Linked DNA regions of Nothobranchius furzeri. The protein of the gene in region 1 interacts with the protein of each later gene in a pairwise test. Links are inferred from orthologs where the notes say so. Each region holds a gene or a part of one and is shown on either strand. Other genes may lie near its edges. The genes, in order: trip6, sik3, lysophosphatidic acid receptor 2, nedd9, neu4 and mettl17.

Evidence for each region.
Region 2: the proteins of trip6 (region 1) and sik3 interact in binary tests that used the Homo sapiens proteins (3 or more experiments, as listed by UniProt). The two-hybrid records come from large-scale screens. The link is inferred for Nothobranchius furzeri from reciprocal best matches to the Homo sapiens genes TRIP6 and SIK3.
Region 3: the proteins of trip6 (region 1) and lysophosphatidic acid receptor 2 interact in a two-hybrid assay, tested with the Homo sapiens proteins (2 studies listed by BioGRID). The link is inferred for Nothobranchius furzeri from reciprocal best matches to the Homo sapiens genes TRIP6 and LPAR2.
Region 4: the proteins of trip6 (region 1) and nedd9 interact in binary tests that used the Homo sapiens proteins (3 or more experiments, as listed by UniProt). The link is inferred for Nothobranchius furzeri from reciprocal best matches to the Homo sapiens genes TRIP6 and NEDD9.
Region 5: the proteins of trip6 (region 1) and neu4 interact in binary tests that used the Homo sapiens proteins (3 or more experiments, as listed by UniProt). The two-hybrid records come from large-scale screens. The link is inferred for Nothobranchius furzeri from reciprocal best matches to the Homo sapiens genes TRIP6 and NEU4.
Region 6: the proteins of trip6 (region 1) and mettl17 interact in binary tests that used the Homo sapiens proteins (3 or more experiments, as listed by UniProt). The link is inferred for Nothobranchius furzeri from reciprocal best matches to the Homo sapiens genes TRIP6 and METTL17.

Annotation. Positions count from the first base shown.
Region 1 is NC_091742.1:54,147,319-54,151,333, forward strand, and holds the start of trip6 (thyroid receptor-interacting protein 6), read right to left. Parts: upstream 2,801-4,015; 5' UTR 2,680-2,800; intron 2,678-2,679; exon of another isoform or gene 2,572-2,677; intron 2,206-2,571; 5' UTR 2,166-2,205; intron 1-2,165. UniProt on the Homo sapiens protein: Relays signals from the cell surface to the nucleus to weaken adherens junction and promote actin cytoskeleton reorganization and cell invasiveness. Involved in lysophosphatidic acid-induced cell adhesion and migration.
Region 2 is NC_091753.1:15,843,532-15,847,031, forward strand, and holds part of sik3 (serine/threonine-protein kinase SIK3 homolog), read right to left. Parts: intron 1,846-3,500; coding exon 1,689-1,845; intron 1,607-1,688; coding exon 1,457-1,606; intron 1,384-1,456; coding exon 1,310-1,383; intron 492-1,309; coding exon 357-491; intron 1-356. UniProt on the Homo sapiens protein: Positive regulator of mTOR signaling that functions by triggering the degradation of DEPTOR, an mTOR inhibitor. Involved in the dynamic regulation of mTOR signaling in chondrocyte differentiation during skeletogenesis.
Region 3 is NC_091744.1:9,323,894-9,328,177, reverse strand, and holds the start of lysophosphatidic acid receptor 2, read left to right. Parts: upstream 1-1,484; 5' UTR 1,485-2,117; intron 2,118-4,284. UniProt on the Homo sapiens protein: Receptor for lysophosphatidic acid (LPA), a mediator of diverse cellular activities. Seems to be coupled to the G(i)/G(o), G(12)/G(13), and G(q) families of heteromeric G proteins. Plays a key role in phospholipase C-beta (PLC-beta) signaling pathway.
Region 4 is NC_091759.1:25,485,569-25,489,068, forward strand, and holds part of nedd9 (enhancer of filamentation 1), read left to right. Parts: exon of another isoform or gene 1-2,563; intron 2,564-2,570; coding exon 2,571-2,876; intron 2,877-3,500. UniProt on the Homo sapiens protein: Scaffolding protein which plays a central coordinating role for tyrosine-kinase-based signaling related to cell adhesion. As a focal adhesion protein, plays a role in embryonic fibroblast migration.
Region 5 is NC_091753.1:42,144,688-42,148,544, reverse strand, and holds neu4 (sialidase-4), read left to right. Parts: upstream 1-1,179; 5' UTR 1,180-1,394; coding exon 1,395-1,595; intron 1,596-1,714; coding exon 1,715-1,970; intron 1,971-2,244; coding exon 2,245-3,188; 3' UTR 3,189-3,357; downstream 3,358-3,857. UniProt on the Homo sapiens protein: Exo-alpha-sialidase that catalyzes the hydrolytic cleavage of the terminal sialic acid (N-acetylneuraminic acid, Neu5Ac) of a glycan moiety in the catabolism of glycolipids, glycoproteins and oligosacharides.
Region 6 is NC_091751.1:41,153,267-41,157,277, reverse strand, and holds the start of mettl17 (ribosome assembly protein METTL17, mitochondrial), read left to right. Parts: upstream 1-1,211; 5' UTR 1,212-1,337; coding exon 1,338-1,406; intron 1,407-1,844; coding exon 1,845-1,986; intron 1,987-2,093; coding exon 2,094-2,243; intron 2,244-2,320; coding exon 2,321-2,408; intron 2,409-2,477; coding exon 2,478-2,559; intron 2,560-2,649; coding exon 2,650-2,723; intron 2,724-2,795; coding exon 2,796-2,890; intron 2,891-2,962; coding exon 2,963-3,033; intron 3,034-3,175; coding exon 3,176-3,283; intron 3,284-3,671; coding exon 3,672-3,740; intron 3,741-3,821; coding exon 3,822-3,872; intron 3,873-3,950; coding exon 3,951-4,011. Other genes in the region: parp2 (poly [ADP-ribose] polymerase 2), read right to left, coding at 1-200, 762-834. UniProt on the Homo sapiens protein: Mitochondrial ribosome (mitoribosome) assembly factor. Binds at the interface of the head and body domains of the mitochondrial small ribosomal subunit (mt-SSU), occluding the mRNA channel and preventing compaction of the head domain towards the body.

The DNA.
Region 1 (4,015 bases):
TAATGAAAGGAGTCGTAGAAATTAAAAACATAAAGTTGTTGGTACCTTTAGGAAAAAGGTTTGTGTAGATGGTCAGTGGTCCAGGACATGGGAATCTTAAATGTTTAGTTGGAACTGCTGGATCTTTCTTGTTTTCCTTGAAAACGTGTCAGAATGGTGCCGGTGTTTCACTGATATTGCTGGAGGGCCCATGACCTGAGACAAGCGTTCTAGTACTGGGCAGATCCAGAACACCTAAAGCCGAGCGTGCCCTGTATAACTGTCACCGTCCACATGCAAACGACACAAAACAGCCTAGCACCAAAGATTGTCGAATGAGTGGAAAATCAACCCCAAACAGACCAAAAATGGCAGAGGACACACAGCTTTAAAGGTCTCCAGATTTCATTAAACCCCACAGATTAAAGAGCAAGTCAACCCCTACCAGAGTCTAACTCCACTCCCACTTCATGTTTGAAAATGCAACAAATGCTGTTGCCTGGCAGACCGAGAGGGTGGAGCTGCTAACAAATACACACACACTCAGGCTCACGACAGCATTGTGACATCATAATGTACCAGTTTACATCATAGCATACCTCTTAGCCAATAGCAGTGGCAGATTTAAATTAAAATGCAGTGCAGAGTTTTTACCTGACAACGGCACAACACTGCCAGTTTTAGGCAGAATATTTAAATTTTAACTAAGATGCACTGAAGTGCCAAATTATTGACGACACGTGTCTGCAGCACGATTAGACACTCGTTTATTTAGTTTATCAGCAAAAAAAAGTTTATTTGGGGGTGACTTGCTCTTTAAAGACACCTGGTGACCCAAACCCCCTTCATGCCTCACAGTAGCTACAGCATTCTTTTCTTTGCTCCAATGTTTGTGTCTGCGAACACAAAAATCAACAATAAACTGCACCTTAATTATGGGAATGGGGCCGGCACGTCTGACCTGTTGGCCAATCAATTTTGCCACAGCAGAGGCGACGACCCTTCCCCTGTTGATCAGGTAAGATCAGCTAATTTGAGGATGCTAATAGAGATTACAGAGAGAAGGAGACAAACCTAAAGGACATTTTTTCAGCAGTAAAATGTGTTGGGTTGTGGACAGAAGACTTGTTGTGGACTATTTTACTGGAGGACATTGATTTGACCCGTGTGGGTGTAAAGACTCTGTCCTGTCGATTTAAAAAATCTTGATGAACAACATTTGTTTTCCCCCCCCAATACCAAAAACAGAAGTTATAATTACTAAATTACAAATGTTGAAAATGACTTAATGAAACGTGTTTTCCAGAACAAGAATAAATGGCAGACACAAACTCCAGAGACAGACTGCAGACACCCAAACGAGCCATGTGAAATCTGACACAAGTGCAGTCCCTGTGCAGAAATGAATAACCCACTCACACCGATTGGACGTGGGTGGTGTGACCCTCCTCGTGGTTAAGAGGATTATAATGTCAGATCAGATGTCGATGTAGCTTCATATAAATACATTTCAGACAGGAGATTTGAACCCTTAACATGATGTTTTTTTTACTGGTTTTAACGTTCAAATTAAAGATATGTGATCCATGTAAAACCAGCAGATTCAGGACTTGTTAAACTGGAGTTCACACTGAGGAAAGGGTGATCACCACCTGCGCAGTGGTCCCGATTAAAGCGTTTGTCTGAATCCGGATGAGCACACAGTCAAATCTAAGGCAGACTGGCCCAGGGAAATTAATCTCCATGGTTTCATCCCCCTCAAGGTTTGGAGCCAAATGTTTCCTATGGAGCATGCATAACAAATTCTACTTATTGTTCAAACTGTCTGCATAGAGTAAATCATCAGTACCAAGTCCTGAATTGGATGAAAGACAATAAATATAAAGAACTTCCTACTTTTAAATTCTAAATAAAGCATATCAAATGTTTGTGCAACGCAATAACCCAATAAACACAATAAGTCGTCATTTCCTGTTGCAAATCTCATATTTACATTCATTATTTAATTTTACAATTAGGCAACATAAAACACTTATTTTCGAAATAAAAGATAATGATAGTTAAATGTTTGTTTGTGTGCCAGTTACTACTGATAAAGATATAAAAACATAAATTACATAACTAAAAATAAAAAACACCACTGTGCTTCTGGTCAGTTTTTTCAAAATAAAAATCAGCATTCCTACCTTCACAGTGCTTTTACTGTCGCCTGTCCTTAGGTCTCATCTACACACAAATAACAAAGGGGGGAAAAAAAGGCTGAAACAGAAAAGCAGATAAACTCACATCCGTCTGAGATACTGTCCCGTTTTTAGCTCCGCAGCAGCAACGATATGTCAAACCAGAGAATCTGTCTGGTCTAAATCTGTCTGTGCGTCACGCATGTGCAAATCACCGCACTTAAGTGATCAAACACTCCATAATGAAATAAAACTACCCGTAATTAACTTTAATAGCAGCCTTGTTTACATGTTTGCTAGCATGTCATGAATCCGAGAGGTGCTAATCACGGCGGGGAGCTTATTTCGGCACAACACCGGGCTAACTTTCATCACGACCAAAAAGGAAACGATGCGGCAAACCGCCACCTACCGCCCGAACCGAGCCGCACAAACACGACTTACGAGTCCATTTAAACGTTAACGACTTAGTGAAAGTTGTCCTGAAGACTTGGCTGTCGTTGAAGCGTCGTTAACCTACTTTTGTCACGGATCTGAAGGCCTTTAGCGAAGACACCAATTCCTCGCTGCATTCCCAGCGCGTGACGTAGCTCTGGATGCGCGCGCGCGCCTGTGTACGAGCACGAGAGGTGGTGTTGGGAGGAGGCAAGGGGTTGGAATAAAGGAAAGTTTACCTTTTTTCACAAAAATCTCTCTCTCTCTCTCTCTCTCTCTCTCTCTCTCTCTCTCTCTCTCTCTCTCTCTCTCTCTCTCTCTCTCACACACACACACACACACGCACGCACGCACACACACACACACACACACACGCACGCACGCACGCACGCACGCACGCACACACACACACACACACACACACACACACACACACATCTATCTATCTATCTATCTATCTATCTATCTATCTATCTATCTATCTATCTATCTATGTGTGTGTGTATGTATATATATATATATATATATATATATATATATATATATATATATATATATATATATATAAGTAATAAAATACATCTAAATGTCCCACTATAATTGGAAAAATATGTAAATATTTTAGCCGTATTGAGCAATTATTTTAAAAGTTTAGAAATATATAAATGTACTAAATATCTAGTCTCGTCTTCTTCTGCCTATTCGGATCCGGGCAGCGAGGGCAGCATCCCAACCAGGGAGTTCCAGGCTGACCTCTCCCCAGCCACCTCCACCTGCTCCTCCAGTAGGACCCCAAGGCATTCCTGGGCCAGTTTGGAGATGTACTTTCTCCAACGCGTACTTTCTCCAACATGTCCTGGGTCGACCAGGGGACCTCCTGCCGGCAGGACATGCCTGAAACACCTTCCTGGGCAGGCGTCTAGCAGGCATCCTAACAAGATGCCCAAACCACCTCAACTGACTCCTCTCGATATGGAGGAGCAGCGGCTCTACTCCTAGTCTCTCCTGAATGTCTGATCAAATAAACTAAATATCTCTGCAGTAATTGGCATGATCCTTTGCCTCACACAAACAAGAGACTTCACATGTCAAATATACTGTTTATTACCAACTAAAGCTGTGGCAAATGAGTAAAAACAGTTAGTGTTGTAGAAAAATGAAAGAATTGTAATGCTTTAGCCTTATTTGGCTCATTTTACCTAATGCTTTACATAAAACTCATCTGCAATTACTCCCTGAGGTCTCCGGCTGTGATAACCCCTGTGACTTTTGCCTGATCAGACAAAACCCCACAGAGCTTCTTGTGACGTGTCAGGAGTGTTGGGCCTCTGCGGCTGTAAGGGAATGTATTTAGTCCTCTTTGGTTTTCACACATGCTTCTCTTTGTGCAAATTTAACATTCACACCCAGCAGCAAATGTA
Region 2 (3,500 bases), on another chromosome or scaffold:
AAGAGGACTGGGGCCACTGGAAGGAAAAGATCTCCCAGTGGCCCCAGTCCTCGTCCGCACACAGGTGTTTCAGACCGTGGTCTAACAGCTGCAGCTGACACGAGCGTGTACCACCACGTCGTTCAGCTGAACGTTTGTTCTGACACACATCCTGTTTAGGTGCCAGTTCCTCCTCTATGGAGTAAAATGACCTATTTATGCAGAGGCTGGCTTTATTTCTGCTACACCCTGGCTCATCCGCTGTGTGTGTGTGTGTGTGTGTGTGTGTGTGTGTGTGTGTGAGTGAGTGAGAGAGAGCTTTATAGTCACCCCTGAGGTGTGTGTGTGTACAGCTCAGAGCAGGAGAGTCCCCTCACCGGGTGTGAATGTCAGGGGCCCAGCCGCACCGCTGGCGGGGGCCCTGAGGCCGCTGTGACTCTGTCGAGGGCTCGCCATGTGAGGTGCTTGTGAGCACGTGCGTCGTGTGGCGCTTGGAGCGGTTCGCCAGGTACCTGGGCCGTTGGAAGGGGGGTAGGACGGGGTGAGAATGGGAGACAGGAAGCAGCGCTGGTCAGCTCTCTGTCCTCATTGGCTAATGGAGATGGGGGAAGGACCACCCCTTTCCACCTTTGCCAATGCGTGCCGTTACTCATATCATCGTAGCCAATCAGAAAACATCAAATAAAGTGACACCACAGATGGAGGTTACAGCATTTGTGAACCAACAACTGCCCAGCGTCCAGCTTAAGGGTTGGGTCAGTCGCTGTTTGTGTAGCCACCGGTTTGGCAAGCTTCAGAGTTAGCAAAGCTGTGTGAGAAAGAGTGAACAAGTCCACAGAGGAATCTGGCACTTGCTGAAATGAGAGATAAACCAGCTCGAGGCCAGAGCCTGATGGCAAACTCTGTTGGGAATGTGGCAGAAGGCACTTGCGATGGAGAAAGGAGAAAAGATGGGATAAGCACCACAGCACTGTGGCCACCTCTCAAGGGGGAAAAGCAGAGCAGCCGAGAGGCACTCACTCCCAGCAACCCAGGACACCGGCGAAGGCTAAAGAACGTGCCGTCTGAAGAGGACCGCCTTAAGGCCCAGACCTGGACTCCGTCACAAGCTTTCCCCAATGATGTTCTTTGAATTTCATCCAATTCTTTCATTTACATGTCTGTAAATCATTTATATTAACATGAGCCTGAAATCTGAGCTTCTGGAGTCCCTGGCGGAGCACTGCTAACCCAACTCTACAGTCAGGGGCTTTGGGGTCTCAGCAGCTTCCTGTTCAGACAGCACCTTCGTTGCGGAAACCCAGCCACCACAAACCGTCACCATGGTTACCTCTGCACTGCCTCCTGGTCTGGCTCTCCATCTGAACCCTCCTCATCCACTGGAGCTACTGCAGGGATAGGATGCTGAGAGAGGCAGAGTTTACTGGTTAAGGTGTGTTTGGCACACGCCACAAAGAATATACACCCAGTCCCTCACCGGGCTGGCCACCAGGGGTGATGGCCCCCTGGGCCTCTTCAGGAGTTGAGCGTGTAGCTGGATGTTGGCCCCGCCATCTGAAGCTCTTCGGCCCAACGGGCCCATGCCATTCAGAAGCTGTAGAGTGGGAGGCTGCAGCAGCGATTGCTCCTGCAGCGTTAGCAGCCACAGGAATTCAGAAATCAGCACGAACACAAATCAAACACATCCAGTCCGACGCAACGAGCTGTACCTTGTACTCCAGCTGCTGTGTTGGCTGAAGGCTCTGTGTGGGCATGAGGGTATGCATTTGACCCATAGTGGGGGCAAGTTGGGGGAAGGGGGTCTGGGGAATTACACCACGAGGGAAACCGGGTGGAAGGTTTTGGAGCTCCTCCTGCATCTCCGTCCTGTGGAGGCAGGTACAAGGTCACATGGAGGTAAGATATTCTGATGAGTAACACCTGATAACCCCCCACCTCCACAAACATGCGTTAAAGGGGTTGTGAAAGTAACCGAGCTATCCTCACAGCACTACCCCTCATCCTAAACAGATCTCGGGTTTTACCAAGGGTTGGGCATCGAGTCTCGATTGGAACCAGGGGATAACGGGGACTGGTTCAGACCGTATCTCGGGAACCGAAGCTTTACAGTTTGCATGGAGAACTACTTGTCGCTATCATTGCCTCTACCCTGGGGTGTTCCTCAGGGTTCCATCCCATTATCACTGATAATGTTGCGCCTATTTTAACACCAATTTTGGGGACCGCCAATGTTCTCAGTCACATCTGCATTCCTAAGGATGCCTGTAATGAACCCGGCCACGGTGGGGCAGGCTGGGGCTGACTGCGCGACGTGGAGCTGGCCCTAGAGTGGAAGGGCCCACATGTAGGATGGCCTGCCAGCCTAATATTTTGTTAAAACAACAAACAGGTGAGCACAGCCATCTTTGTTAACATGATAAAGCCATTCACTGACAAAGATTTTTAACGTTTTGAGGCTGTGCCTCACAGGCATTGGCTGAAGCGCTGTTATGCAGGTCATCTTTTCAGGGTCTCATTGGACTATTTTGGCGGTTCCAGCCCTGATTGGAATCGCTGAGCCAACAGAATCACTGGTGAGTTGTTTTCGGCTGGCTTTTGCAAACCGATCACAGGAGAATTGCTGTTAACCAGGATATGATGGAGAGTAGAAAAGGTTCTCCAGCAGGCAAAACGGCCCAAAATAATAATTTATCAGCTCTGTTTGGCCGCTGGGTCGTAGAATTTAACAAACAAGTGGATTTTTTTTTTTTTACTTTAACACAGATTATGACCAAAAAACAGCAAAGGTAAGACTGAGTATAAACTTTTATCGTCATTAATATCGGCTTTGTTTTGGTCCTTTTTTAGTGGTTAGCTAAATCAGTTTTACAAGTAGAGTAATGATACATATGTATTATAGTTAGCGGGTTTATATTAGTGGACCAACACCAGCAGATGACATGGCTCCCCAAATCAACACCGATTGTGGAAACTTCACACAAGCATCTTGGATTGCGTGCTTCTCCGGACATACTGGACCAGACTAGACCACTGAACAGCGCCAGGGGCGGATTGACAAGAGCAACAGGACATTTGAAGCTCATGTCCAGGATCTGTCTGTGTGTGATGGCTCGTGATTAGGGTGGGGCATCGTTTGATTTTCAACGATTCAGATTCCGATTCCTCGTTTCGAATCAGGTTCCTATCGATTCCCGATTCCATTTCTTTCAAGACATGACATGTTTTACACGAGCCAGCTAACCACAGGTCCTACTAGATGAAATAATCTTCAGTGTTTCCCCTAGGAATTTTTCCAGCTGTGGCGGGGGGGGGGGGGGGGGGGGGGGGGGGCATTGGAGAGAAATTATGACACGTCTCTAAATAAGGTAAAAAAATTTTAGTGCAGAGAGGAGAAAACCCATAGAAGCACTGATTTGATCTCATTTAAGAGAAAAATACACCAAGTCAGATGCACCTAATAAATAAAATTACTAACATAAACTCAGGAATCTGTTTCTTTGCTTCATTGTTCTGGTGCTGAA
Region 3 (4,284 bases), on another chromosome or scaffold:
CTCCTAGTGTAATCAGCTCAACCCGGCTACTGGACTGTTACACACAAGATATGTAGGCTTAATACGAGACACGCTCTTCTTGTTGCTGTCAAGCAAGAAAAAAAAGTATGTGTCTGGAATTCGCCCTCTCATTGACGCGATGACCTGGGCTGGAGATCGTGTCACCAACCTTTGAGTTATAGCTGATCCAGACGGGGTTTTATTGCTGAAGGCTGAGGTTTATCTGCTACCAAGCTGTGAAGTCGTGTTTAGATTTGAATGTGTGAATGCCTTCACTCACCGTGTCGCTTTAACAAGAAATGTCATTGTTGTCGTTTTTGACAACTTTTCCATGAATGCTTTTAATTAAAAGGCAACAGTGAGGGTGGAGGTGGACTGGAATACCATCTTTGTTCTGGTTTTGCCGGATCCACAATAGATCTCCATGGTTCCTGCAGGAAGTCAGCAGCCCCCGCGCCCCCCAATGAATTTTCAAAGGCTTGATAGGTCTTTGCTGATAAGCCCTCCTTCAGGCCTGACTCCAGGGCCTTATACTTTGTATCAATACAAGATAACCTTGTTCTTTGTTATTTTTTCTTCTTCTCTTTTATCTTATTTGATTAAATCTCTATCTTCTCACCCAGGACCACTATTATTTACATGATATCAGCAAGAGCTGTTTGCCCCTCCGAGCCCCGACACCCAGGAACTCAAACCCCTCCTTCATGGTTATTCATGAAGATGTTTTATATAGCGCCTCCTCAAGATAAAAATCACAAGGCATTTCAGAAGAACAAAATAAAAATAACAATAATATTTAAAAAATATTAAATACGGAGAAGTAAAAATTGTGATTAAAATGGGAGAAAAGGGAAAGAGAAAAAGAATAAGAATGAGGTAATCAGTGGATCATAAAGGATCATGAATAAATACTGAGTAGCTGAGGAGATTTAAAATCCTTCTGCGTAAAGTAAAAGTCACGAGAACGGAGCTGGTGGACGTCACAGTGTAAAAAGTTGGAACCCACTGGTCAGACCAAACCACCTGGTTGTAAAAACAAAAGCTCTGGATATCCCTGGGTAGGTTTATCTTATTTATAACAATTAACAGTTAAAAATGAGCTAAACTGGGGAAAAAATGCAAATAAATGAATGGAAATGATATCAAAAGGGTCAGAATTCTTATTCTAACAAAGGCCTTGAAATGTTGCATGATGAGATTACACAAATGGCTGACTCACTACTTCTGAACTACTTCTTCCTCACTGGGGTCATGAGGGGCTGGTGCCCAGCTCCAGCACTCACCAGGCCAGATGTGAGGGACACTCTGGACACTGGCCTGTGGAGGAGGAAACTGGATCATCTGCAGAAAAACATGCAGAACGGCTGCAGCTGGAACCTGCAACCTACTCACTGCAAGGCAAAGTGCCCCCACTCAGCCCATGACACAAGCATTTTAACAAACATTTCTCTGATTTTTCACATTAATGAAAAAGCAATGGGTGACATTCAATTCAATTCAATTCAATTCAATTCAAAAATACTTTATTAATCCCAGAGGGAAATTGAGTAGACACATGTGCATCTTTAGGCCTCTGGGTGAAATGGTTTCCCACCTTTGTACTGGGATCCCTCCTTGGCTGCCCTGGCTCTGATCATCCACCTCCCTGCTGTGATCATCGGCCTTTTCTGGTTGAAGCCATCCTTTCCTAGCGAGGCTCTGATTGGCTGGTCCTTCTTCCCATCAGCCGACAGGGGGCGACAGGAGGCGGCTCCACAGACGTGAAGCGCTCCAGCCTAGCTCCCTTGTGGGACAGAGCTGCGCACTGTGCAGATCAGGAGCTCCGCACCGCGGCTGCCGCACCCTTCCCTCAGCGGAACGCTGCGCGCAGGTAACGATCTGCTCAAATTACCGGAAGCGAGATTCCGTTCAGGTGACGGAGGCCGAAACCCACCGCGCTAAAGTTTCAGGGACGTGAAAACTCCCCCCGGGGCAGAGCTTTGATGTGATCCATCCACCTCCTCCACCTTGGGACAAACGCTCGTTTCTTTAAAGTGTTTTATTTTTATTTCTTTCGTCTTTCAAAACTCGATGTTTGTGGAGCGCAAGTGACCCGAGGAGGACTCGACCAAGGACGAGTAAGTAGATCTGTTTTTTCTCTTTGTGAAACAATCAGGTGGAAAACCCGGAATTAAGAAACTTTTCTTTTTAAACTGCAGTTTCATCCCTAAATCCGTCCATGCCCCTTCTGTGTAATGCCCTCATGCTTCCAGACAACTTTACTCTAGTTTCAGCAGAAGAATGTGTTATCTCCTGCAGATAAGACTTTTGTATCGTCCCTTTCCCGGATGCCCCTGTTGCACATTCTCCAATAAAACAACTCACTTTAATAGGATTTTCTTTAGTGGTTCTGTTTTGTAGCAAACAGGTTTAACAGGTTAAATCCACCTTATGATAATGCAATCAGAACAATCCTGCAATAAATTGAAGGATCAATGTTCAGGCGTTGTTGACACACTGCACCTTTTTTACCATCTGTAAATACTACTGCACTGATCATTTTTTGCATGCACACCTGAAAACAAATGTTAGTTATAGTAGAAAAACCAGTGCATTGCTAGTAATATAGATTTTTTTTCAAAATAACAAGCTTGACTGAAACTCACTTGTTGGAAATGAATGAGGAAACTCAGCAAATTATCTAACTTGAGCCAAACTGTGTTTGTTTTTCATAGTTTTGCTCACCCTAAGGGTGTAGGGAATGGATTTATATTCTGAGAACAAGATGCAAATTTCTGTCATTACCATCACACGGTCACCTTGGTCTTTAGTTTTTATTTATTATCAACATGGAACATTTCTAAAACATCTCAGGAAATGTGAAACTCCCCACACTTTCATTTTAAACGGCTTCCTCACCCCCAAAAAGATGAATGAAAAACTCAACTATACCTATTTCTGTTAAATACCTTTAAACATCTTCCCTTATGGCCTGTTGTCAGTCACACATTCTTGCTTTTGGTTTCGATGACCACAGAAGATGATGGAGGGATGAAATTTGTTTGACTGAACGAAAGAAAAGGGCATTTATACAAATCAGAATGTTCCACCATGTGCATGTCACAGGAAAAGCACACCTACATATGACTCCTGTGGTTTGATCAAAGAACTAATCATAATGGGTTGGAAATGTGTTTTCCCCCACCGTCGTGTTAATTGTAACCTGTGTGCTTTTCTTGCCGTTAAACCGCCAAGACTTTTTTTCAGAGGCGAAAGGAGGGAGAAGAGACCTGGGTGTGGCTTTTCTTGTAATGACTGGTTTGCATTCAAACCAGTGTTTACAGATTCAGCTGGGTTTTTTCACATACAAATAACAGACAAGTTACACGTGAAAACACACAATCCTGCTAACATTGTCCAACTAGAGCTGCAAAAAGTCCATAGGGACCTACACACTTGCAGCTTTTGCACATAAAACAAAAAAATTCAACTTTTATGGAAAACAAATCACAAGAAAATACTATGCTGCTGTTTTATTCTGACATAAGTTATCATTTTATATTTATAGATAAAAAATGGGAATGCTTAAATTGCTACATTAGTGCTAGGAATGGGGGAGGGGAGGCAGACGAGGTGTTCTTGGTTAGGAAGGAGGTGGGGAGAAGGGATATTTCCTTTGCAACTACCCTTTGTCCTTTTCCCCCCACAAAGCTCCTTAGGCATGAATGATAACGGGCTAATTAGTGAGTTTAATAGGGTTTGTTAGGTGAGTGTGAGGCTGGCATCAAGCTGTGCTGAAATTTGAGTTGGTTGTTTACATACCACGTCAGGGGGTCCCATTTGCTAGGAGGGTTTTGTTCTTGTCACATGTTCTTTCTGAGGGTTAAAAGTCCATCTCTAAATAAATCCATTTAGGGGGATTCTGCGCAACTTGTGCATTACACGCAACTCTGAGACAAATGTTTACAGATGTTCCAGATGGCTGACTGTTGGCTTTGTGTTTAAGGAAATGCAGCCATTTTTGTCGTTTAATTCTTTGGAGGAAGAACGAGGATATTTCTCATCAAGACAGCTTTAGGTTTGCATTATTTTCCTTGGTTTAGATGGGGCATGTGGGGAAATTATTGAGATCATGAAACAAGCTAGCCTGGTAAACCATAACCTGGCCAAAACCCATTGAAACCATCCAGTCGTACTGCACAATCTATGGTTGTCTTCCAAACTGTCACTGTACACAATTGGACAGCACAAGGACCAATCAGAGCAATGAATAATGTCACGTGTTCATTGCTGCAGAAATCAGTC
Region 4 (3,500 bases), on another chromosome or scaffold:
GTTGGTTCTGTTTGGCTAAAGGTCAAAGGTGACAGATCATCTGCTGCTGTGGCCCCAGACTCTGGACCTCTCTCCCTCTGAGCCTGAGATCAGTGGACTCAGTGGTCTCCTTTAAACTCACCTGTTCAGGCTTTTGTATGACCTCCATCACCTCCCTCACCTTGTTCTGCTCTCCCTACCTATTCCACCTTCCTCAGGATCCACTGATTTCCCTCTTTCCTGTTCACTCTCTCTCTCTTTCTTAACATTTTTTAAATCATAATTGTCTATTTTTGCTCATTTTAAATATATTTTTAAAATTTTCTAAATTATTTTTTATATTTTTACATTTATTGCTTTTGCGAAGCGCCTCGTGGTTTTTATCTCGAGAGGCGCTATAGAAACGATATTTTCTTCTTCTTCCGTTTGTGCGGATTCAGCCAGGATTCTGATCCAGGTCCGAGTCTCCAGAACCACCGAGCTGGATTTCAGCTTTGGCCTTCCCGGTCTGGTACCGTCGTTTGTCTGGGTCAGAGGTTCGGGTGCGTTCGTGGGCCGAGGAAACCGTTTCTATGCGTGTTTACTCTGATTGGGCGACGTGTTTGAATGTCGGCTGGTTCACAAACCCGCTGATCAGATCTGTTTGGTGATGAAGCCGAGTCGTAGAACTCCTCCTCGTCATCGCTGCTCTTCACCACTCGGTCGCTGACTGCAGCAAAACAAGACTTAATGTAAAAAAAAATCCAAAACATCAAATCTTGGTTGTGAAGGTTTAAATCTCCAGTTTTATTTGATGAAGCTGACGCTTAGATGTATGTCTGTACAGGAAGACGGACTGTTTGCCATCCTGCTACAGGAGCCCAGAAGGGACAAATAAAACTTTAGTTGTCGGTTTGAAGTAGAAGAATCCAGTCTGAGCCTGAGGACGTAGAAACGTTCTTCAACCTTTGAACGCGATAAAAACTCATCGGCGTGACGACGAGGACACGCCCAGTCGCCTCCTCCTGGCTTCAGACACGTCTGCTGTTACCGGTGACCTTTGCCCTCAGATATCTGATTCACTGGTTACAATGTTTGCGTGTTTGAAACCAGTGAGAACCTGTGAACAGCGTCAGCCCATTTCCTTGGATCTGTGTGGTCCCTGAACTCACCACGACGTCACACTCAGCTCAGCTCAGGGGGGAGGGGAGGTTTCAGGCTGAAGATGGTTTTAGATGGAGATGCACTGATTCTGCTTTTTAAAGCCGATACCGATTTCTGATTCTTGACCTGCTGCTCCAGATTTCCCTCTAAGACGTGAACGGTATGCAACTTTTAAAGTTTCTGATTGAACCTGATTGGATCCAGGCCTCCTCCTTACCTCAGTCATCCCTCGGCGTGGTTCTCCATCAGGAGGAGGAACAGAAGAAGAACGTTGGCTCTAAATAAAGCCTCCAGCAGACTGACGGGAAGCTGCCCGTGGTTTGGTTTGGGTGCTTCTGCGTTGATGCCAGCTGGGCGCAGATATTCTGGTCGTTGTTGTTTGGTGTCAGTGTGTTCAGGAGGACAGAAGGCATGTCTGCTCCCGCTGCTGGCTTAACCTCCTCAGCGAGGGTCTGGATGTTCTTCTGCATCAGGATAATTGTTTATCTTCGTCAAACACAGACCCTGCAGGCTTGTTCTCACGTGAGGGAGGACGGGTCAGAGCCGCGGCCTTTATGACCCTCAGAATAAAATACGATCAAATGAAGGAACCAAGTTCACAAAGGAGTTTCCAAAACATCTCCGAACTTTCGCCGGGGTTCTCGCGGGGCCTCACCCTCCGTCTGTGTTTACGCCGGTATCTCACAAGCCTGATTGTTCAGTCTGTCCCTGAACTCACCACGGTTATTTCCCATGACCAGATTCAGGTTTTATCATAAGGTGAGTTCTGTAAACTCCAGTTCCCTCAGATGAGTCAGAATGGGTGGGTTAGGAGGTCCAGGGCGGCCGGGCCCACCAACGGTACCAGAAACAAACCCACGGCTCTCCTGGAGCTGTAAAGGCTTTGTGTTCTGATCAGAGATTATAATCTGATTTAATCCTGCAGAGTTTCTTCTTCCTGTTTGTTTTCTTCTCATTCCGACCCAGACGGATCCAGAACCTGGAACTGCCAGGTTCTGGATCAGGCAACGTGCCCTTGAGCAAGTCACGCACATCTTAATTGCACCTAATGGGGCGTGCACGGCTGGAAGTGCACGGCCGCTCTACGAAGGTTGAAAACAAGCATTCGTGCCCGTTTCCTCCCTCCTGCTGATGCGTTTAACGAGCTAATCGGTCCTAAATGCCGCGGCGCTGGGGGCTCGTTACCCATGAGCCCTCACCAGACCTTCCCAAAACCCTGAGAAGATCCTGTCAAGTTCAGGTTCAAGCGCAGCTGAAGGTCGCGAGGTCGTGTGACTGCACGGCCTTTAGCAGCTGCTGGGGGCGGGGCTATGATGCCCTACGGGGTCATGATGGGAAATGTTCACCAGCTTTATTTGTAATCACCAGATTTAAACATGGATGAAAGCTGTGGTGTGTGTTTGAACCGTTCGGCGCGTCTAACAACAGTTTTGTTTCTGTGGCTGCAGAACCTGATGGCCAAGGCGTTGTACGACAACGTTCCAGAGTCTCCCGAGGAGCTGGCGTTCCGGAAGGGGGACATCCTAACCGTCATCGAGCAGAACACCGGCGGCCTGGAGGGCTGGTGGCTGTGCTCCCTGCGCGGCTGTCAGGGCATCGCTCCCGGGAACCGCCTGAAGCTGCTGATCGGACCCATGTTCGAGGCCCAGTCGTCGGGCGCCGCCGCCCAGGCTCCTGCTCCGAGCCTCCAGCAGCAGGGCCTCTACCAGGTCCCACCGAGGAGCACGCTCAGCGCTGAGAGCGCACCCAGCAAGGTGAGAGCTGCTCCCTTTATCGGCTAATCTGGCAGTTAGCTTTCTGGTGAATCCAGAGGAGGAATTACCCAGCAGCTTATGGGGTTTATTCTGATGAGATTAACGGAAAAGCTCGTCATTAGAAGCAGCTGCAGAGGTAGGATGGAACATGAGCAACCGGTCCAAGACCCTGGCCCGGTCCAGGTCCAGGTCTCCTAAATCTTCTGGTCTCCATCACTTTTCCAATGAGCAGCTGAACTTCTGCCTGCAGGAACGGGTCATGTTCAGACGGTCTAACCGGGCCGGTGAGACCCGGTTAGCTGCTGTTAGCTCGTCCTCATCCTGCTGCTGCACCGCTCAGCAGACCTTCAGGACAGCAAGCTCTCACCTCTTTCCAGCCTTCAGCTGAAGCTCAGGATTCCTGAAAGTTTAAGCTCTCCTCCTCCTCCTCCTCCTCCTGCTCCTCCTGCTCCTCCCCCCCTCCTCCTCTGGCAGGTCTGTGGGAACACGAGGAGAAAACTTTCCCGGTTATTCATCCGTGTAACTTCTCCAGACGTGATCGGATTAGAATTAGAACCTGAAGAGGTTTTTAGTTGAATCAATCCGGTTGTTGCCGGAATGATCTCAGGTGTGTTTCAGCACCTG
Region 5 (3,857 bases), on another chromosome or scaffold:
AACAGACAAAGGGTGGTTCATTTGTTGTGAGATGATGATCCCAAACACAAGGCCAAGGGAACAATGAATTGGTTTCAAAGGGAAAAAAAATCAAGTTGCTTGAATGGCCCAGTCAATCACCTGACCCAAATCCCATAGAAAATCAAAAGAGAACTGAAGATCAAAGTTCATAAAAGAGGCCAAAGGAACCTTTAAGATTTAAAGATCGTTTGTGTAGAAAAATGGGCCAGAATCACTCCTGTGCAATGCAGACAACTGGTCTCTCCATACAAGAGGCGTCTAGAAGCTGTAATCACCAAAACACACACACACACACAACCATCCATTGACTTCCATTTCATTGTGACTGTATAATGCCTATGCATAACCAGTGCTGCTGTATTCCTAACCCTAACCTCAACAAAAACTTCATTCCCACCATACCTCTAAAACCAACTGGTAAGCTCTCTAAAATAGCGAGGACCGCACTCATTCCCTCTGTTGGTTTAAAATCTCATGATGGTCCTCAGTACGTAGTAAGTACAAGAACACACACACAAGGCTCTGAGAGAAGAGACGTGCTTTACACATTAAAACGAAACGTACGTTGTGCTGAAAATGAAAATATGAAATCAGAGAGGCGGAGCATCACATCATTGTTCAGCACCCCCCACCAGACCTGCTTTTCTAACAATGGCTGCTCTCTGCTGATTCATTCAAAGCCTTGGATCTGAGGGGTGTTCATTTCTGGGTCAGTGCACAGGATGCCACACTGAATAGTGAACAGAGATTCTCACTACACTCACTGACTACACACATACATCATACTGTGAGCCTCTGAACCAGGAGCTCACACGCAACCGGTGTATCCTCGAAAAGCAGCAGCGGTTCTCTCAGAGATCTGAGACAGCAAGGGTTCTCCTGTTTGTGACACTTTGAAGTGTTGAATCCTCCCAGTGCTGTTAAACTGGGAAGTTACTGGTCAGAAAACAAATGAAAATATTCCAGTAAACGGGTGGAAGAGATCATTCTCTGACTGGTAAGATCATTTACTTTATTCAAACTCAAACTGAGCTCAGTGCAGCGACATTGGTTTGACTGCTGATCTGTTGATTTTTGTCACAGAGTGGTTGCTCAGATGGTGAAAGATTTAGACAAAAATCTTTGTGTAAAAAGCTAAAATACAGACAAGTTTATAGTGAAGTAGCATAGAACCTGATTTTCAAATTAATTTCTGCCATTTAGTATTTCTGATGTGTTTCATAACTTAAATTTTCATGATCACAATAGTTACTGCTCCTATTCATAAAGAAATGCCTTTACTGTTTTTTCTCTTTGTCTTTTGTCCTTAGTTGTGTTTGAGAAAACTTCCTGATTTTGTGTCACTGGATTCAGATTCAGTCCCAACAAAGAGGATGAGGTCGCCTTACTTCCCAGCGAGAACGGTGCTCTTCCACAAGGAGCCTAACGGAGTGACGTACCGAGTCCCAGCCCTGATCTACGTGTCCCGGTTCAGGACTTTTCTGGCTTTCTGTGAGGAGAGACTCAGCCCGTCTGACTCCCAGGCTCACCTGCTCATCATGAGGAAAGGAACTTTCTACAGGAACTACGTGGAGGTCACTGACCTGTCATTCTGGGTTTTTTTTATATCATACAAAAACATTTGTTTAGAAATCGTTTGAATTGATTACTGTTGGCTTTAACTGTAATTCTTTACATTTTTATTCTGTTTCAGTGGGAGGACATGCGAGTTCTGGGTACCGCCTTTCTGCCGGGTCACAGGTCCATGAACCCGTGTCCCGTGTACGATGAGTTCACAGGGACACTTTTACTGTTCTTCATCGCTGTTCTGGGTAACACCTCAGAGTCCTACCAGCTGGTGACGGGGAACAACGTGACCCGACTCTGCTTCATCTCCAGTACTGACGGGGGTGACTCCTGGAGTCCAGTCACCGACCTCACCAAGGCAGTCATCGGAGACACCATCAAAGGTCACCGAACCCAGACAAACCTTAACCCTAGATGAAAACTACACCGTCAAGTTGCACTTCAGGTTTATTTGATCAGATCCAATAACTTATAAAATATCCAAAATAATAAATAAAATAACATATCAGAAATAACAGCAGGTAGGTCAACAAAATGAATGCATTTTAAATTAAATAATGTTAAAGATCTGGTTCATCTGATAAGAATAACAGGAAGAAGCTTTCAGAATAATTGGATGACACTGATTGGTCCCCTTTATTTCCTCCCTCCTGACAGAATGGGCTACGTTTGCTCTGGGTCCGGGTCATGGCATCCAGCTAAAGTCGGGTCGTCTTCTGATTCCTGCCTACTCCTACCACATTGACTGTAAGGAGTGCTTCGGACAGCTTTGCCAGACCACTCCGCATTCATTCTGCTTCCACAGCGACACCCACGGGAGGAGCTGGCGTTTCGGCGAGGCTATTCCGGCTCCAGAGAGTGTGGAATGTCAGATGGTGTCCGTGGATGAAGAGGATGGCACCAACGTGCTGTACTGTAATGCACGCAGCCCTCTGGGATACAGGGTGCAGGCCCTGAGTCTGGATGATGGAGCTGTGTTTCAGGAGGGGCAGCTAGTGCATCGGCTGGTGGAGCCTAGAAACGGTTGTCATGGTAGCATTGTTGGATTTCCTGCTCCTTTGCATCTACAGCAAACTCTACAGCATCCCACAGGTCACTCCAGGCACTGGACGTCATTCCTGGACTCCAACAAAACGACAGAATCATCTTCAAACATCACACCTCATCATGATGCTCATCCAGACTTCCTGACCCCTACATGGGTGGTATATTCCCACCCAACTTGGGCCACAGCACGTAAGGATCTAGGTGTGTTCCTCAGCCTGTTTCCTCGTGATCCAGACAGCTGGCGGGGCCCCTGGGTGATCTACGAGGGTCCCAGCGCATACTCAGACCTGACCTACCTGGAGCTGTCCCCCTCGCCTGGGGCACCGCCGGCTGTGGCCTTCGCCTGCCTCTTCGAGTGTGGCTCTAAAACCGCCTACGATGAAATCTGCTTTAGTATCTTCACCCTGCATGAGTTGATTGATAATTTGCCCGGGGCTGTGCAGCATTTGGGTGAGACGGGATGCAAACGCGAGACCCCAGGAACAACAGTCCAATGGGAACCTCGAGTGAAGAGGAGGAGGAGAAAGCTCATGAAGACGTGCTCTATCTCTTGAAGAGTTAAATGTTTATTCTCTTTTTTTTAATCACCAAGCTGGGTTTGCTTGTCAACTATATTAAGTTCTGTAGAACTTCCTGTTAAATATAGGTAGGAAAGATGTTTAATGTAAGTTTTGTAGTTTTTTTTAAATAGATTTTAATTGTAAAGATTTAATTTTGACATTTCATGTGTGGAGTTTTTATTTCTTCTTGTGAAAATGCTCAGAGAATTAATTTAAATAAGAATACAAATCATTGCTGGTTTGCAAGAGGAACTAATTCAGAGGTGTCTCTAATCAACACACCTGATTTTAATCAGTTGGTGCTTAACAAGCTTCATCTGATGACCTAGCCTAGTGAACCAGACCAAATTCTTGCTTTGCAAAGTTTGCAAGTAATACATTTATTTAGTCTGGCTTGCCAGGCTACTGATGACCTGCTGAACAGGTAAATTAATTGGTGAATCAGGTGTGTTGGAGCAGGAAAAAAACTTTTTTGAAGCAGGACAGTGGTAGCCTGGCAAGCCAGACTAAATAAAGGTATTATTTAGTCTGGCCACGCTCCATTGACGGCTCTCGGTTGTGGGGCGGGTTCTACCGTTGTCTTTCAAATGATCTCCACATTCCACTGGACAATGAATATGACATACTCTTGTTTCACTCTGTTGCATCATCCCACCCACCAGG
Region 6 (4,011 bases), on another chromosome or scaffold:
AGTCTTGGAGCGGATTTTTCTCTTGTATTTCGTCACAGGGTTAATCTGGACCATCTTCTTCAAATCCACTTCATATGCTGCCCCCGAGCCAAGAGTCAGAGTGACGGATGTCCTCCCTGAAGAAATGGCTGAATCAAGCAAGGCACAGGCTGTAGGCGGGTACGATTCCCACTGTCCTTCATCTCCTTTCCACTGCCACACTGTGATCACAAACAGAGCCAGAAAACAGTAAAACAGTTGTTTAAGTGCTGCATTATAGGAAAAACTGAAAATAATATTCCACAACAGACCTTTTATGAACTATAAAATACTGATATGACTTTATAAAACATGAATCAATTTCTAAACATCAAATTTCTGCCCTGAGTTGATTTCATTCATTAAATGTAATTATGTAGTTTCTTTTTACTACTTTTTAAACAAAGATGTGTTAATCAACTGGACTTTGCAGAGCCATTATATTGTTTTTCTACACTCAAACGAGGCTTTAGTTATTACTAAATTAATTAAATGTAGCAGTGAGTCACTTTATTCTAGTGATTTCCTCCAGAACTGCTTAATATTCGTGCTTTTCACCAGTTTTCGCGCCAAGTTTTGATTCAATTAGTTAAAACACAAATGTTGTCAAATATAAGTAATAGGTAGTGCAGGACATAGTTACCAAAGAATTGTGAAGATGAAAATAAAACCTAATTCTCTGTCCGGGCATGTTTAATGGCTACACTGCTTCCTTCCATGATGTGCTAAAAGCAAACACCAACCTGTTTTTGACGGGACTTCGTGGTTTTCTTGTGCGCGCTGGCTTTTATTTCTCGAACTTCTGGTTCGCCTCATGTTTGTGTATCAAAACAAGTTTATTTAACAGCAGGAAAAGCAGAAATCGAGAAGCAGTAGAAAACACGGCGGGAACTTTCTTTTCTTCGGATAGGCCTGTAGAGAGCAAAGCCTACCGAAGATGGTTTATTAAAAAGATGCCGCACTTCGTAACTAACTAGCGATGAATACAGAAGTTAGCAACGCAGCAATATACATCTGTTTACAACCAAATAATGATTTTTCTAATGATGTATATGTGGTAAAACAAACATTTTTAATCTAATCCTTCTTTTATGTGCTATTTGTTTCCGAATGTTAGCCAGTATCTGTAAACAAGATCAGAGAAAGAACTCTTCTTGTTTCCCTCGTGTAGGAACAAATCTTTAAGGCTCGATGGTTCCACTTTCAGTGGTGGCCGGAATTATTTTGTTGATGCAAATCAGTCGGTCGGTGTGCTTTACAATAGCGTGGATGAAAGTAAATGTTTACCAATATTTCAGTGCCGTTTAGACACCGAGAACATGGCATCAAGTAGCTATAAAGCCTGTGGTCTCAGTCAGAGAGTGGCTGTGGTGAAGATTTTGTTCAGGGTAAGTACTCCACCAGGTGTCTTTGAGTGCATCATTTTCACTGGAGGTCATTTATGTTTTGTGTACATTTATGGTCTGTAAATGACATGTCAGTTTGTAGAAAAGTAGCCCGGTTTGAATATTACATAAAATTATTTGTTTTCATATTTCTTTCCACAGTTTTGCAGTGACTAGTATTTTTATCCTAATGTCCTTATTTCCTTGTTTTCCTGTATTTTTCTTTTCTCTAGTACTGCTTAATATTTTGCTAAGACTGTGCTTTCTTCACACCTTACATAAATTTTTTGTATATTTTTGGAATTATTTATATGCAAACAAACATGTACCTCATACACATATTTTTATATGTCGATTATGTACTCTAACAAAGTCATATAATGCAGCCACTCTGCTTTTCATTTTCCTATTCTGACACTTTGTAATAATAATTTATTCCAGACTGTGAGTGCTGCTGCTAACCCACAGCCCAAAGCAGATTTCCTTAAAGGAGAACCCCACAGGAAACATCCTGGTATGACCAGCCTGAATACACTTCGGCTACCCCAGGAGCTCCAAGTTGCTGCACAGTCAGTCATTCAAAGTGAGATCAGCTGTCATCAACTCTAGCTGCCATAATAATAATAATAATAATAATAATAATAAATAAAACTGACAATTTTCCCACATGTTTGTTTTTTCTTTGTGTAGAAGCTCAGGTGACCCAGCTTACTGATCGCTGTCACAAACTCATAAACTACTTGTGGAGTCGAAAGCGGATGGTTGAGGACGTGACTCTGAGGCAGAAAGCATTGGGTCTGGAGAAAGAACTCTGGGAGAAAGCCATGCAGAAGATGGGAGGTGAGCGAGGGTGGGATCAAGTAACGATGTATCCATGTAGCAGCCCCTGGAGACAATAAATATGTTTCTCTTTGCAGATATTGACGAGGAAGCGCTGAGGAATCAGATCAGGAAAAGGGTTCTCTCAGAGCTCAGACAAACTACATATCACTGGAATTCCCTGAAGTAATCAGAACTTAGAACTCAGCTTAATCTGAGAGTTTTGGTTCGTAACCGGCCCTTTTTGTGTTTCAGGTATGATGAAGAGCTGGGGGTGGTGTACATGGCCTCGCGGCTTGCTGGAGGTTTTGCAGCAGTGACGAGAGCTCTAAATGAGGTAATGAAGTGATTTGTGGAAGACTTTAGCCCCTGTACGTGCCTCTGATCACTCTTAAATTAAAACTGATGTGTTTTTGTGTTCATTCAGATAAAGAAGAGGGATCCCTCATTTGCTCCTCAATCTCTCCTGGATTTTGGGTCAGGATTGGGAACAGTTGCCTGGTTAGTGTGCAAATTAAAACCCTTTTTGTCTAAATGAGGTTAAGTGTGTGTGTGTTTTTTTGCCTCTCAAAGGGCATCACACTTGCACTGGGGAGACTCTTTAAAAGAGATGGTGTGTGTGGACAGCTCTGGGCCTATGAGCGTTTTGGCTGAGCGACTTCTTAAAGGTTGATCTGTTATATTTGTCACATTAACAGAACATTTTTTAGAAGATGCTGAATGTGCTTTCTTCTGCGCAGGTGATGAGGAGGAGGCTGAACCTCTTTTCAAACACGTCTATTTTAGACGATTTCTTCCCGTCTCTCCTAAGGTAAAACATCCCAGGTTTTTGGTTTTGTTACAGAGGAAATGCTGATCTGGATTTACCACGAGAAAGCAATCTCAGATTAACTTAATTATGTTAAAATTGGTAATAAAAGCTACAAATCTGACTCCCCAGTTTCTCTCCTCAGGTTCAGTTTGACTTGGTGGCGGCTGCTTTCACTCTGTCAGAGCTTCCCAGCGTGAAGGAGCGAGAAGATGCTGTGATCACTCTGTGGAGAAAAACATCCTCCTACCTGGTTGGTTAGATCAATAATTCAACTTTATATTTCCTTTTACGCCTTCTGAGTTTTTTCCAGTGTTTATCCTTCACGTGTCGACATTGGCTTCTTGCCTTGTAATATTTGATTCTGTTAATCTTAGACCTGCTTTTATTACTCTTTTAAAATATTTTTTATGTAATTTAACATTTTAAAAATATTTTAATGGTTTTTTTTTGTTTTTGTATAATATGCTCTCAATATTGTTTGTTTTTTTATTTTTCTGAGGTCCAACAAATCGAGAATAGCTAGGTGAAATTAAAAATGCACTTGAAATTAAAACTCAGGTCATGAGAAATTAAATGTGGAAAAAAATTCAGCTTATTTTAAGCTGTGTTTCATTATTTTTCCACACTTTGTCCTTCAGGTTCTGGTGGAAAACGGAACCAAAGAGGGCCATCAGATGCTCATGGACGCCAGAGACACTTTACTAAAGGTACTCCAGTGAAACTGCCGCTTGGTTCTTTCCTGGCGTTTCTGTGTAAAAGTTTTGACAGTTTAATAAATTGCACAACAGAAACAAGAGCAGATTGTTCACGACCCCAGACCAGCAAGAGTGTTCGCCCCGGTAGGTTAAAGGAAAAGCATCAGTCTTGGTTTGCGGCGTTGCATTTTTTGCTGCAGCTTCTTTTTGTTTACTCCTCAGTGTCCCCATGAGATGATGTGTCCCAAACTGGCCCGAGAGCCCATCACACCCTGCAACTTCC